Linked DNA regions of Lonchura striata. The protein of the gene in region 1 interacts with the protein of each later gene in a biochemical or structural test. Links are inferred from orthologs where the notes say so. Each region holds a gene or a part of one and is shown in the gene's direction. Other genes may lie near its edges. The genes, in order: SLX4 and EME1.

What was found.
Region 2: the proteins of SLX4 (region 1) and EME1 form a complex in vitro, tested with the Homo sapiens proteins (3 studies listed by BioGRID, with this or other methods). The link is inferred for Lonchura striata from reciprocal best matches to the Homo sapiens genes SLX4 and EME1.

The regions. Positions count from the first base shown.
Region 1 is NC_134618.1:4,009,646-4,016,767, forward strand, and holds the start of SLX4 (structure-specific endonuclease subunit SLX4), read left to right. Parts: upstream 1-3,962; 5' UTR 3,963-4,011; coding exon 4,012-4,378; intron 4,379-5,200; coding exon 5,201-5,440; intron 5,441-6,192; coding exon 6,193-6,367; intron 6,368-7,122. UniProt on the Homo sapiens protein: Regulatory subunit that interacts with and increases the activity of different structure-specific endonucleases.
Region 2 is NC_134621.1:5,708,583-5,716,297, forward strand, and holds the start of EME1 (structure-specific endonuclease subunit EME1), read left to right. Parts: upstream 1-4,450; 5' UTR 4,451-4,494; coding exon 4,495-5,173; intron 5,174-5,256; coding exon 5,257-5,384; intron 5,385-5,561; coding exon 5,562-5,654; intron 5,655-6,068; coding exon 6,069-6,190; intron 6,191-6,384; coding exon 6,385-6,517; intron 6,518-7,033; coding exon 7,034-7,149; intron 7,150-7,715. Other genes in the region: MRPL27 (large ribosomal subunit protein bL27m), read right to left, coding at 1,162-1,368, 1,801-1,868, 2,602-2,724, 4,299-4,320. UniProt on the Homo sapiens protein: Non-catalytic subunit of the structure-specific, heterodimeric DNA endonuclease MUS81-EME1 which is involved in the maintenance of genome stability. In the complex, EME1 is required for DNA cleavage, participating in DNA recognition and bending.

The DNA.
Region 1 (7,122 bases):
GTTGGTAGAAGGACACTTTGTTGTGTAAGTAATGATTTAAAATTCTGTCTAGAATGTGATAGATTTTTTAGTGACTGTGAAATGCTTTGCCATATGAACAGGGTGCTGGCAGGGGGAGGTGTAGCCCTGAACAGAAATGTGAGGACTGATGGGACATCAGATATGGAAGTGGGTGGTGCCAGATGGACACTGATGCTGATCCCTGCTAAGATTGCTCCTTGGAATCTCAGTATGATTTTCCTACCTAGCATTCCCTTGTTTATAGAGATTTGAATTAATTTCTCATTTCCTATTTTCCTCATCTGGTTTTGTTACCCTTTTCTGGCACAGGGAAGCTGGCATAGACCAGGACAAGAGAGTCGTACCTACTTTGGATTTGTGTTTTGCACTTACATTTGTTCTCACAGAACAAGCCTTGTTGTCCTCAGTGTTAAATTTTTTGTGCTTTTGCAACCACAGAGACCCTGCACTGTACAGATGTAGTGTCATGTCTTTATAAAGTAGTGATAAAGGTGTTGGTTAGTGCAGAGATCAGGCTCTAATGAAGAATCCATAAAAGGCTGGAGGATAATGTGCTTTTTCAGAAGTCACACCATTGACATGTAGGTTCTTCTCCATCAGGAACCAGTAGGGAGATTTTTTGTTACAAGATTTGGTTTGGAGGAATCCCTAGAGACCTCCTTCCAGTGTAGCTGCCAGGAAAAACACTACAGAAGTTCTTCCCTTTCGCAGTATTTGGTCTGACTTGACTGGAAATTTTATCACTAACCCTCAGATCTTTGGCTGCAGCTTCCACAAAAGGAGGAGAAGGTGATGAAACTTCCAGTGCCAAGCCAAGTGGTGCATCCCATCATCCTGCTGCTGCCAGCACTCTGTAATTAGTAGCCCAGGGTCATCCAGGTCCTGGCAATTAGTTGATTCCTGAAGCCTGAGGTGAAGCTGGAGGGAGGGGTGGGGTACAAAGGTGGCTTCCTTTGCACTCACTCCAGCAGCTCCATGTCCTTCCTGTGCTGGGGACCCCAGATAATAATTCAGGTTTTGTTGTTGCCTTGCTTTCTAATGTTAATTAATCCCATTTCCCTTAGCATTTCCTGTGGAATACAAGAGATTGCTTCGAAGGTGTTTTCCTGGTTTTGGAAGTATAAAGTGAATTTTTCTTTCAAGATGAGGAATTGAGGAGGAGATGTCCTGAAGCACCACTGTGGTGCTCAGGAGGGGAGAAGGTATCTGCTGTGTGCAACTTGTGGAGGCCTGCTAGCACTGATGGGCTGTTGTAGCCACGGTGATGACATATTCTTGGAGGCTGAAATGGCAGGAGAATTGTTCCTGGAGCAGACAGAGTGTAAAGCAGCAAGTGAGCAGGCCCAAATGTTGTGTGTTTGAGAGCATGTAAGTCAGATAGCTGGTGGAAAAATGTTTTCAGGGGTTAAAAGAGAGGCTGCTCTGAAAAGTGGGAGAGCAACAGCTGTTTTAGCTGTTTGGGGTTTTTTAAGGGATTTATTATTTAACTAAGTAATTACAAGGCAGTAAATTGAAGGCACGTAGTAGGTACATACTTTTAAATCATAGAATTACGGGATAATCTGAGTTGGAAGGGACTTTAAAGATCATCCAGTTCCTGCTCTGGACAGGAGCACCTTCCACTATTCCACGTTGCTCCAAGCCCTGTCCAGCCTGGCCTGGAACACTTCTAGGGATGGGGTAACCTATGCCAGGGCCTCAGCACCCTCACAGGGAAGATTTTCTTCCCCATATTCCATATAATCCTACTCCCTGGCAGTGGGAAGCCATTGCCCCTTGTCCTGTCACTCCAGGCCCTTGTCCAAACTCCCTCTCCATCTTTTTTTGTAGGCTCCCATCAGGTACCTATTGAAAGGGTGCAAAGGATCATCGAGAGCAGTAATTTCAAAATACATTAAATCCATCCTTTTCCCTCCATTTTCTAGGTTCTGTCTTTCATTCTTACTGGTCCTGCTTTGTACCATTTTGCTGATCCATGTTTACTTGAAGGGCACAGCTGGGCTGTAGATTTGGCATCTCAGTGAGCAGGTAAGTGCTGCTGATTATTTTGTGATTTGTTGAGTCCTAAAATCTTCCAAAATTAATTGAACATTATAGTGAAAGAAATTACTTTCAAAACTGTTACTTTTTGAGCTCAATAAACTGGTGCCAAAGCTGGTTGTTAGGGGCAGCAGTAGCAGCAGCTTCAGAAATATTGAGATGTTGAACAGAGCAGGAATCTGTAAATGCAGGTCTGGAAAGGGAGGAGTAATACAGATAAAGTCTTAGTTTTGCATCATAGGTGTTTCTGATCTGATCTGCCTGGGACACTGAATATTGATAGCCAAATATGCTGCTCTGTTTCAAAGTTTAATATCAGGAACTCACCATAAATAATCTGGCAGTACAGATGTGTCTGAGGTATTTAAAGCGGTGTAGGATGTGAGATTTGGGACTTCTTGACATGCTGTCTCCTCCTTAGAAGAAAATGGTCAATTTACAGTTGTAACTACCCCAGAGTTCTGTCCAGAAGAAGTAAATTTATGAACCAGCTACATGAAACTTTTGTTTCCCTCTAACAGAAAATTACTCCAAGATTCACAGCAAAATCCTCTGCAGGTCTGGGAGCCTGAGTTTAAAATAAATAAATCCATTAGCGTCTGTAATTGCTTATAGAAAAGGCTGATCCATGGAAGTGTGTAACCAGCATTCCTCAGCCTCTCATGTCTGCAGCCAAGCCATTTGAGAAAACAGTCCCCCATGTGTTTTTCCTGCTTTTTGAGTCTTTCTCTGCCCAGAGCTTTACCGGAGTAACTGGACCACAGCTGCTGCCATTCCAAGTGAAACATTCTGGTTTAGGTTTGAAAGAAGTAGGTTTTGGGAGCAATAAAAACTCCTGGTAAAATAGCCAGAACCATCATGAACTCAGGACTACGAAGAAGGGGACAATGAAAACATGTGTAAGAATAGAGCTCTAGTCTTAATGTTGCCTGGGAGTTGATGGCATTTCCATCTGGACACTGTACCCAGTGCTGTTCCAGGTAATCCCTGTCTAATACATATGTGACAGCAGTTTGGGAAACAGAATCAGTGCTGTGGTTTATTGAGTACTCAGGGGAAGAATTGAGCAGGAGCAGGAGAGCTAATCCTGAGTGAGCAATAGTGGAAGTAAGAGGAGAGAAAAGGTGAACATATTTAATGGAATTGTTCTCTGACTTGTCCTAAAACCCCTTCTGAAGTACCAGAAACTCCATTTATTTACTTTTCCAAATGAGGCTGGGATCTCTTCTGTGAAACTGTAGTGTCTCAAAGCAGAGTTTAATACTCCAGAATCACTGCATGAGCTGAAGGATGGAGTTTTTTCCTGCTGCATTCACTGATTTTGTGCTATATAAATATAAGTAGGAATGTGTATAACAGAAGGACTGTCTGAATCCAGAGCTCTAAGAAAAAACCTAACCATATCAGATACGTGTTTTAATATCTCTCCTCTCCTTTGCTAATGTGGCTTGGGCATGTCTGTAGTACAATTATAGGGACACTGTTTGGGGTCAATATGTGCTGTTTCTAATCTTAGTATTTCATGCAAATCCTCTTCTCCTTCAGCAGTTTACACCTTGTCCCATAGTGCATCTGCCTGTACCATCTTGTGTGACTACCTGCCTTTGTTTCTTTGTTTAAGGGCTTTCATAAGTTTATTTCTGAAGCTCTGTAGCTTACCATGATGATCCTACGTGTGCTCTCACAAACTGAGGTGCCTAACCTGTGGTCCAGAGTCTTCTGAAGAACCAGCTTGTGAAAGCAGACGAGGTTCTTGGAGAGAAAGCATGCTCTACTGAATGTGAATTAAGCGTGGAAGAATGAACTACTGGAAGTGCCCACTCTGTCTGATGATCTTATTGGAGTCTGGAGAATGGACATCTCTGAGGTGCTGGAAGGGCTGATACAAATCTGAACTGATTCTGGTGCTTCCCCCTGCCCTCCAGTCCTCACAGTGTTACTGGAAAGCCAATGGATGAACAGGACAATGATTTTAAAGAGTTGTGGGCAAATATTTTGAGTAGGGCAAAGAAAAAGGCTGGGGATGCTGGGGCAACAAAGAGGGTTCAGAACAGGCCAAAGAGCACCACAACACAAAACAGATTAAGAAGAGGCAAAGCTGCTGCTAAGAGCCAAACCCATCATCACTTACCAGCAGTGAAGGAGACAAATTTACTTCAAAATTTGGGTCCAGAGGAGCAAGCATTGGTGCACGAAGAAGATGGTGATGCTGCAGCCTGTAGTGGTGAGACTGCAGAGGGGAATGGAGCAAGAAGCCCTCTCCCTGCCAGCCAGCCAAGCACAGGGACCACTGAGTGTAGCCAGAGGCCTCTGACAGGTAAGTGACCTGAAACAGTTCACACAGGAGATAGACAAGGACTGGAAGGACTCTGTATCTCAGTGAAGGTTTTGAGAAGTCCACCCAGAGGGGACACAGTAGCACTGTTGAAAGCAGGCTTATGCCTTACATGGGTTTAACCTGGGAGTGTGTTCTGTGCTGCAGGCAGATGTCCTTCAGTAAGGTGAAGCCTTGGTACAAAGTGATTTGCTGGCCAGTCATTATACACTGTTTTTTGCAGTGTCAGAACTGAGAAAAGTACTCTCAGATCATCTAGAAGCAAGCTCAGAGCATATTGTGGTGCTTTTTCACTCAATGCTTCAATGTATGGTGACATATTGTTTTCAATGTATGGTGACTGGATGTTTTCAAGGGCAAAAACATGAATGAGTTAAGAAGGGTGTTGGATTAATTAGTAAAGGATTAGTTCTTCATTAGCTGTTAAACATGATGGCCAGAATGCAGTCACCAATGATGGAAGTCCTTAAACTGATAAAATAGGTCAGTCAGGAATAGGACATTCTGTAGTGGGAATGCTGGGAGAGCAGGGCTGTGGGACTGCCTTCCATGTCCCTGCTGGAGACCTTCCTGCAAGGGCTTTCTTTATATTACTGCCTATAAAAGGGATACAGAAGTCTCTAAATGCCCCTGTAGCACAGAACCCCAGTGTTGTTACTGTGGCTACACAAATTGTTCCCTTCTCCAAGAATGGCTGTTGTAGAACTGAGCCTGGCCCAGGCTGCTCTCAGGGAGGGGCCTTCCAGCTGCTCTCAGTGTGTGTTTAAAACTGCCTGGTAAAACTGGTGTTTTCTTCCCCTCTAGTAAATCCAGAAAGCGGCTGTTCCCAGACTACCCTGCCCTTCCTTCCTGCTACTCCTCCAGGAACCTGCTCCTCACCCACCCCCAAGGTGCGGGTGGCAGAGCTGGTGGTGGAGAGAATGCAGCAGTTCAAGAGGGTGGCACCTGAACAGCTGAAACACAGCTCGGATGGGAGCATGCCAAAGGCTGCAGCCAGCAGGGATTTCCCTGCCAGGAGCCAGGAGCAGAACCCTCCTGAGGATGGTACGTGTCTCCTCTTGGCTCTGGTGTTTGCAGAATGAGTGGCTGGTGAGAATGGTTGCCTGAGGAGCAGTCCTGGATCCCAGGGCTTTGTTCCTGGCTAGCCTAGTGGCTTGCTGTGCAAATCACTCCAGATCCCTGAGAAAACTTCATTAAAGGATTATCCATACCTTTTTCCCAGCTCTTCTCTAAGGCTGAATTAATCTCATGTAAATTCTAGAGGAATAATTGTCTCTTTGGAAACAGACTGAAATTCTAACAGGACCGGTGAACTTGGTCATCCTTCCCTTGGGACAGTGTTAAGCAGCTCTTAGGTAGCCCCATCTTTGGTACCTCTCCAGGCACTATCTAAGGTGATACGTTCTGTGTTGATAAACTGAAATCACAGCAAATTTACTCTGGTTGATTCTTTATAGATCAAGTCCCTGTTGGTTCTGTATGGGCATGAAAGTCTGCTGTGTTGTACATTTGATGTATAAAATTCCATAATTTCCCCAGAAACTTCAGCCAAAACTGTCCCTTCATTGTGTCTGACATGTGATGTGCTGTGAGCAAATTGTCACCTCTTGCTCCTGTTGGAAAAGAGCAGGTTGTACCTTTCCTGGTGGAGATCAGGTGTGTAGATGCAAGAGGAAGATTGCAATGAATTTTTGTGTGTCTAATTTAAAAAGCTAATAATGACTAGTGTACCAGTTTCTCACCTTCCACACAGGATTTAGTTTTCCATTTTACATCATCCCTGCCTTCTTTGCCAGATACCCACCATCCCCCATCCGTGGAACACGACAGTGCTCTGGCTTTGGCTCTTCAGCAGGAATCCAAGGAGGAAGCCCTGGCAAGCCTGGAGGATGCAGGCTTGTTCTTCTGTCAGATCTGCCAGAAGGATCTCACAGCCATGAACACCCTGCGGCGAGAGCAGCATGTCAACAGGTCAAACACCAGCAGGACCTATCCTTTCCATCCAGCCCCACAGACTCCTCACTCAGCCCAGCCATGGAAGAACAGGAGCAGGGATTCTGCAAAGGGGTCTTTGCCTTTGTGGCTTGAATTAGCGAGTCAGTTTGGTGTGAAAGCAGAGGCTGATTGCCTTGCCCTGCAGGATTTCTGCATTGGTGTGGCCAGGCCAAATCTGCTTTCATTAGCAGGTTGGCAGAGAAGCTGCCATTGTAAAGGAACTTGGTGGTCTTAAAGCTCTTTTCCAACCTTAATGATTTCCTTAGTGATGACTCCCTAATGCCAGTTTTGAGATCTACTGATTTCAGCCAACAAAGTTGTTTGCTCTGTTTTGCTAAAATTCATCTAAGGACATCTGGTATGTCACTGTATCTGAGCTGTTTGCTGAGGGAAATGTGATGTTACTCAGAGAGATGACTCATTTGAAATTACTGCCCTTCATTGAACAATTTCCTAAGTGATAAAAATCAAACACAATTTATTATGGACAGACAACTCTCTGGAAATCGAATCTGTGCTTTTCTGTTGACAAAGGATCAGAAACAACACATTTGAATGATTGTAAATTCTTAGTTCAAGCACTTCCAGAAAGCAGGAGTGATGTAAATTATCCAGTCCTACATCAGGCTACTGACTGTCTCCCACTGATCAGGCTTGTTTGCACCTGCAGCTTTCTAGGTGGTACTGTTGTTTCTGTTTTCAGACAATTTGTGCTGCTTGAAAAAGCTATA
Region 2 (7,715 bases), on another chromosome or scaffold:
ATCAAGTGTTTTACTGTATCTGTATTGCCTGCCAGGTGGAAATCCTCACCTCTGAGTGACAGAAGGGATGTGCTTTGGAGCACTGCTGTGTGCTCTAGCACCAAGGGCCTCTGTGACTGACAGTGGTTCTGTACAGAGCCCACACATGGATCTGGAGAGGCTCCAGGGGTTATACCCAAATACGGACCACCAAGATGAACCACAGGACTGGATTTGCAGGCTGGGAAAGGACAGATGCATGGACTGAACAGCTGGAGGTCTACAGGAAGACTGTGAAACACAGGTGGGCATGTGTGGCTGACCCAGTTCACTCGGTCTTCTGCAGAGCAGAAGAATTGTCCAAATAATGTCAACACCAGTGTCCTTACACTACTAATTTTGATAACCTGTTTTCTACTGCAGTCAATGTTTCAAATTGTTTACAAACCTGTAGATAAAATGAGATCAGTTTGGGCACAATACATTGAGGCTCCTTTATTTTGAGCAATACAAGCTCAAAAATGTCACATAATGAATCAAAGATAAAAGGATGAGTATCCTGGATAATGCTTTATCACACACCTCCAGCTGCTGAGGCTTCAAATAGTAGCCCAAATTTGGGCATCTTGCCAGGCTCCCTGAACTCAGTAATGAGTTAGAGTTATGCCGTGAATTTGCCTCGCATGGCCAGTGAATGGAACACTCAGATATTTAAGTTAATCATTGAGGTGAGTGAGTTAGAGGGAAAAATCAAGCTTCTGGGTACACATAGGTGCATGTGGAAAAGGATCTGTTCTGCAGTATTGTGAATTAAGGTACAAATAGAACAGTAATTACTAAAAATGAGCAAAACCAGAGGGAATTATTAGCAGGACAAGTACTGACACAAGAGTGATTGTAGAGGGAATTCATCCAATGGCACAACAGACCAGGCTCTCCAGATACTACACGACCATGGTAACACATTCCATGAGTAGACAAGACCTTCAGTTGCCCCACAGCATTTATTAAACACTCTTAAAAATGCCAGCAGGTGATCTCAGTGCCTGAACACAGATCACAAGCACTTCAGGAACAAAACCAAGTCCTAAAACAGTATCTTCAGAGCCAGTCTTGTCCTCAGATGCCAGTATAGCTGTAGTGGTCTGTCCTTTCCATCTGTGCCCACATGACACAGCAGGTTCACAGCATGGTGACAAGTCTGAAGCTTCCTACCTCTGTGGTAGGGACAACACTGATAAAAGTTTTATAAAGGACTGCTCCTTTGGGCAGCTGGCAGATCACATCCCTGCTCTCACTGCTGCGGGGTGGGGGCACATAGACCTCTTTGGTGTATCTCACAGTCCCATCCTCCAGGGCATAGAGTGTCTTGTTTCGACCCATCCCCACCTGGGAGAGGATGAGGAACATTAGAAAGGAGAGGCTGGAAATCCACAACTAAAGCAGATCTGATTATTGGTCTGCCTTGTTTGATATCCTGGCTTCAACAGCATCTGTTGCTTTTATTTTTTAAAATAAAACCACACAACTTGCTTCCAGCAACCAGTTTGCAATGGTACTCAGTATGAGACATGAGACACCATGCCACCTTGAAGCACAAGTGCCCAGTCAGGTCACAGAAGTGTATTGGGGTATTAATTACTTGCAGACCTTCCCTGAGTGCCACGAGCACAGGTGAGGCTCTGAGCAGGCTCTATGACTAATACCACAGAAGACATGGATGAGCATTAAGAATGAGACTGAAAGAGAGGAGGCAGTGAGTGTGGGACTCTGGGGGGGACTGCTGTTCTCTGAGAACCAAAGAGAGAGAAAAAGCCTTACGTGAGCGCCGGGATGCCAGCGGATCAACCGCTGCGTAGCCAAAATGTTTCCTGCATGGACAAATGCACCTGCAACAGAGTGACACTGTCAGACTGCAGACCAAGAGCCTCCAGAGCCCTGGAACAACACAAATTATTCCAGGACTTACAAATCCCAGCCTTCTGTAGGCATTTTCTAAGGAAAAATTACTTCAAATGTTAAAAGCATCTGAACAAAAATGCTGTTAGCAGGAAATAAATGGACAATGGATAGACCATGGCAAAAAGTCAAATTTCTGAAAAGACTGCTTCTAGGGTACAAGGCATTTTCTGGCTGCTGAAGGCATTTGTTTAATTACATTTACATTGATATGTTTCCATCAGAAAAGCTAGTAATTATTAAGCACTCAACTGCAAGAATCTGCACTTTGACTTCTGCTAAGCTTTCTAATTCTCTCCTTTGTAAACAATGGAAATGCTCGGTTTTTCCACCCAGTGTGGGGGGAAAGTGCAGCGCAGTTATGAGGTGTCCCACAGAGTTCCCTCCTCCTGGGCCCTCCGGAGAGACAAAGTTAGAACCAAAGTACATTTTCTGTGGGCAATTTTGGCTGGCAGCCGGCGGGCTCATGGTGGGGAGGGGGAGCTGACTCAGCCTGCCCTCCCACCAGCAACCCTTGATCGTGAGGTTTCACTGATCCTCCCCTTCTTTCTCCCGGAAAAGTGCCCTGCCTACCTCCTGCTGAGACACTCAGCAACTGACATACATCAGGGGAGAGAAGCTGGGAACAGCCCAATGAAATGCAAATACGATACTCAGACCTACCTTCGGTTTTTTTGAACCCATAGCGTTTCCCCGGGCTGCGGCCTCCTAGGTTTTTAGAGCTGCCCCCACTTTTCTTAGAAGCCCATCTGACAGCAACCAGGCTTGTATGACGAGTGGTTAGAACTAGGTTAGGAGAAAGAACAACACCATCAGCTAAAAAAACTATCATACATAATTCCTTCTGTCAGATTTAAAGGCTATCAGTTAAGACAGGCTATAAAATTAAAGGCAAAGGAAAGAAACAAAAAGATAAATTAGACCAAAATGGCCTAAATTCCTTGAAAAAAGGCCACATCTCAAGTGCTGCTGCTGCTGCCCAGGTAAGAATAAAACTCTCAGCAACCATGTTAAATGATGTGTACAAATTCCTCTTTCATTCTTGTAAAATGCAGCACAGATGTCACTGGTTGCTGTGAATTGCTCTTACAGTGCTTTGAGAAAAGATGGTTTGTGAGTTCAGTTTCCCCTTTGACCAAATGGCATTTACTTACACAGTTACATCCTGAAATCTTACAAATGAGCAGATTACAATTCTGGAAAATATATATGTAAAATGCAGCACAGATGTCACTGGTTGCTGTGAATTGCTCTTACAGTGCTTTGAGAAAAGATGGTTTGTGAGTTCAGTTTCCCCTTTGACCAAATGGCATTTACTTACACAGTTACATCCTGAAATCTTACAAATGAGCAGATTACAATTCTGGAAAATATATAAACATCTATGACCAGCCAGAAACAATCTGAGGAGTATCCAGAAGGAGCATAAAGGTTGGACTTGCTGATACTGGAGGACTTTTCCAACCTTAATGATTCTGTAATTCTATGATTAAAGGATCTAAGAAGGAATATAGAGCCCTGGGAGTGGCAAAAAGGGAGTCTGGAGCACAGTTTTTTCCATTAATCATCCCAGTTTAAGGGAAGTGTTTTAAGGCCAGGTTGAATCTGGGCTTGGAACAACCTGGTCTAGTGAAAGGTGTCCCTTCCCATGGCAAGGGGTAAGAACTGGGTGATCTTTAAGTTCCCTCCCAACCCAAGTCATCATTATCTTAAAAATCTCTACAGTACCACCTCTCATGCAGTTAGGAGACAAACCTAATTTTTCTGAATCCTATTACTTAGCCCGCTAAGCAGCAGGTTAGTGCAGAAGAGTGGTTGTTTCCTTAGCCTGAGCAAAACCACTAATTTAATTTAATTAAATCACGACGGATGCACATTGAGCTGGAAATGTCCCATCACTGGAGGTGTTCCCGCACAGGCTGGATGGGGCCTGGTCTAATGGAAACGTCCCAGCCCATGGCAGGAAATTGGAGCAAGATGACCTTTAAGGTTCCTTCCAACCCAAGCCTGTCCATAATTCTAAGAAATACTGTTGGGGAAAGGGTACAAAACCCCTTTAACTTCAGGATACGGCCCATTAGGCAAATTAAAGCCTGCGAGACTTGACGATTAACAGGAAATTAGAAAAAGACGAAGTATAGTTAGTTTCACATACACAAACCCGCCCATCACCACAGCTCCGCCTCAGCTCCAGGCCAAAGCGAAAGCCTGGGTGGTGACGCCCCACTGGGGGCGCGACATCCCGCGGGGTGAGCCCCCTGGGGCGGGGTGAGCCCCCTGGGGCGCCGTGTCCCCGGCTCATCCCTCCCGCCGCTGCCCAGCGCTCGGAGGGCGCCGAGCCCCCACAGCTCCGGACTCACGCAGCCGCGCCAGCGCCGCCATCTTGTCCGCTCCGCTGCCCCCGCCTCTCCCCCGCTGCGCGGCGATTGGTCCGAGCGCGCGCGGCCGCCAGCGCTCGGGCCAATCACCGCCCGCTGCGCGCGCCTCCGGCCCAACCAGCGGCCGGCGCGGGCTTTGCCCTCAGGCGGGCGCGGGGCCCCCGAAGGGACGGGGGAGATGGCGGAGAGCGAGTCCGGGACTGAGAGCAGCGACGAGGAGCGCCTGCCCTCCTTCGCCTACCTGCTGCAGCCGTCCCCATGCCTCGGCGAGCCCAGCCGCCCGCGGTCGCCATCTCCTGATCCTGAAGCGGAAGAGGTTGTCAAGATAGTGAGCAGCGAGGGCGAAGAGGTGGATGAGGAGGCGATGGAAGTAGTCCCTTTGCATGAGACGGTCGAGATGATGGTGAAGGCAGGGCCTGACCCTTTCAACCTGGGCGCTGGTGATAAAGAAGAGGCATCTGGGGTTTTTTGTGCCAGTGATCACCTGGTGGCTCCTGGGAGCGGAGAGCTTTGGGAAGACGTGACGCCGTCTGAAGAAATAGCTTGTGATAGTGAGAATGGTACACGCGGTGTTGCGGGATCCTCCCTGTGCTCCTTGCCAGTCGACTCTGACAGGCCTAGTAGCTCCCCGGCCAGCAGAGAAAGGCCAGAAACATCGCTGCCTCTCAAAAAGCGACAATATAGTCAGAAGGAACGGGAGGCAATCTGCCAGAATGCGTGGCAGAGAAGGAAGGAGCAAGAAGCAAAGAAAGGGAAGCAGGAAGAGGAAAAAGAGAGGAAGAGAGTCATTGCCAAGATGCTGAAAGCTCAGCGGCCAGGAGAGTGCCAGAAATACATAACAGTGGTGCTAGATCCAGGTAGTTGTCCTCGCAGCCTGCAGCTGCCTTGTACTGACTGTTGTCTCCTCTCTCTGGGGGCCTGACCCGTGCATCGATTTCAGTCATCTTACAGGTAGAAGGTGGCGAGCAGATCCTTAGTGCTTTGCAAGCTGCCAGTTATTCCTGTGTGTTTGAGAACCACGCTGTTCCCTGCAGCATCACCTGGAGGAGAAAGACAGTGACATCACAGGTATGTGAGCAAAATTTTGATAATCTTGTCCTTTTCCTCATGTGTTATTTGCAGTCGTTAGTAATTTTATTTAGCAACTCAAGTGAGCACCCTCTAATCTCCCTGCTCAGAGGTTTGAGTGGGAGTCTGAGAGAATTCTAAACAGACTGTGGCCTGTTTGTTTTCATATCTGAACAGATGGGAGGAGGAGATGAATGGACAGAAGAACCAAATGTTCTGGTTCTGCTTGGCTTGGAGGAGTTTTTGTCCATGGTTCACAACTACAAGCAAGTGAGAATGCTTATGACTCTTTTGCTCCTGAAAATGCCTTGATGTAAAACGGGTGTTTTAGCATCCCTCTTAGTGGCAGGAAGGTTTTGGTGTGGGAGGAATGCAGGGTTTCACTGAAACAGAAATCTGGGTGTAGAAGCCACTAATGGGCTGTATAATGTAAAGTTCTGACAAGCTGTCTTTGCTAGTTAAAATTTTTCACACATTCCTCTGAAGAGTTATATCAAGTGGGTTTAACTTTTTCTCCTTCTTTCTGCTCTAACCTTACATGGGATCAAGTATTGCCTGCTTGCCTTGAAGAGCAAGGGTGAACTTGAAGTCTCTGCAGACCTACAACCAGGGCCATAATTTGCTGTGCTTCTCTGTATACCTAAAAATGGTTTAACTCCTTATTTTTCCAACTCATCTTTGTAGAATGCTGATGGCTGTGCAGAAAGGCAGAAGGAGACCCTGCAGAGCTATGTAGCTCATATTATGGAGAAAATGCCTGGGAGAATTCTGGCTCTGGCAGTAGTTGGAGTAGAAAATTATTTCAGGTCAGACTTCTTCCTTCCAAATGTTTCTGTGTTTTCTCTGGCCTTGAAAAATTCCATAGGTGTTTATGTTAATTCTTTCTAGCAAAGACTGGAGTCTAAGAGGTATTCCCAGAACTGTTCCACCAATTTTAATACAGAAACAGAAACAAAGGTCCATCCAGACTGTCACCCCAGTCTTACTTTACTCTTTTTAGGTCTCTCCAAGTTCAGCCAAAACAAAGGCTGCGACAGGCAGCAGCAAGTGGGAATCAAGAGAAACGTGGAGAAAGGAGAAAAAAACAGGTTAAGGATTGTGGCCTGGACTTATCCAGAATGGATGTGAAAGAAGTGAGTGGTTTTAAAACACATGCAGCCATCATCTCTTGTCTCCCAGTATTTGAACAATTGACCCAGTCACACAGTTTTGTGGGTGGGAGTCTGGCTTTCATTATTCATTAGGCCATCAGTCTGTGGGCAGAGCTCTGGGGTCAGTTCCCTACTGCTCAGTCACATTGCTGTTCCCACACAGACTCCTGTGTCGCATTCACCTGGATACTGATGTCAGTCTCAGCACCTCTTGCCCTTCATGGCCCTTTGGCAAAGCCCACTGGTGGTGGCCTGTTCATAACAAGAGCCACAGAGGAGCTGAGGCAGCTCAGAGGACACTGAGGTGATATTAACTGTCAGGAGACAGCCTGCCCCTAAATACATCAGTGTCTTAAGTTAACTGTTCCCAAAATGGAGAGAGAGTGAATGTTCTTGTTTTACAGCAGGATGTTTGTGACCCTTTTATGCTCCAGACAAAAATGGAATTTGATGCAACAAGACTGATTGTGCCATTTGTTGTTCCCAATGGTGATACAGGCCCTGGTGGATCTGCAGCTGAGCACACAAGTCCAAGTCAGCATTTTTGAGAGCAGTGAGGAGATTGGGGAGTATGCCACTATGTTCACAAAGGCTGTGGCTGAGGCACCATACAAGTGAGTAAGCAGAGGAGGTTTGGCCCTACCTTTGGAGAGGCTGCACTTTCAGCTACTGGGAAGGGATAGCAGGTACAACACTGGGAATAATGGTTCTCAAAGGTGCAGGTGACAGAACATCTGCTATTGCAGCTCCTTCAACACAGGACTTGTTCTTGAAATGGATGTCCTGCCCACAGAGGGGTCAGGATAGACCCTGGTTTCATAGTCACAGGCTGATTGGGGTTGGAAGAGACCTTAAAGATGATCTAATCCAACCCCCTGCCACAGGCAGGGACACCTTCCACTACACTGGATTGCTGAGCACTCCATCCAGCCTTAACACTTCCAGGGACAGAGTATTCACAACTTCTTTGGGTATCTGCATCTTTGGGCAGTTTGTTCTGGTGCCTCACCACCTTCAGGTTTCACACTGGAGCTTTGACATCAATAAGAGCTCTTGTTCTGGGTCAGATTTTTGGAGTGGGAAGGGAATGCAAGTAGGGTTGGCTATTAGAATGCCAGTTTTTCTTCAGTGTGTAACCAAGAGACCTACCTGAGAATGAACCACTTGACTCTTTCCATGG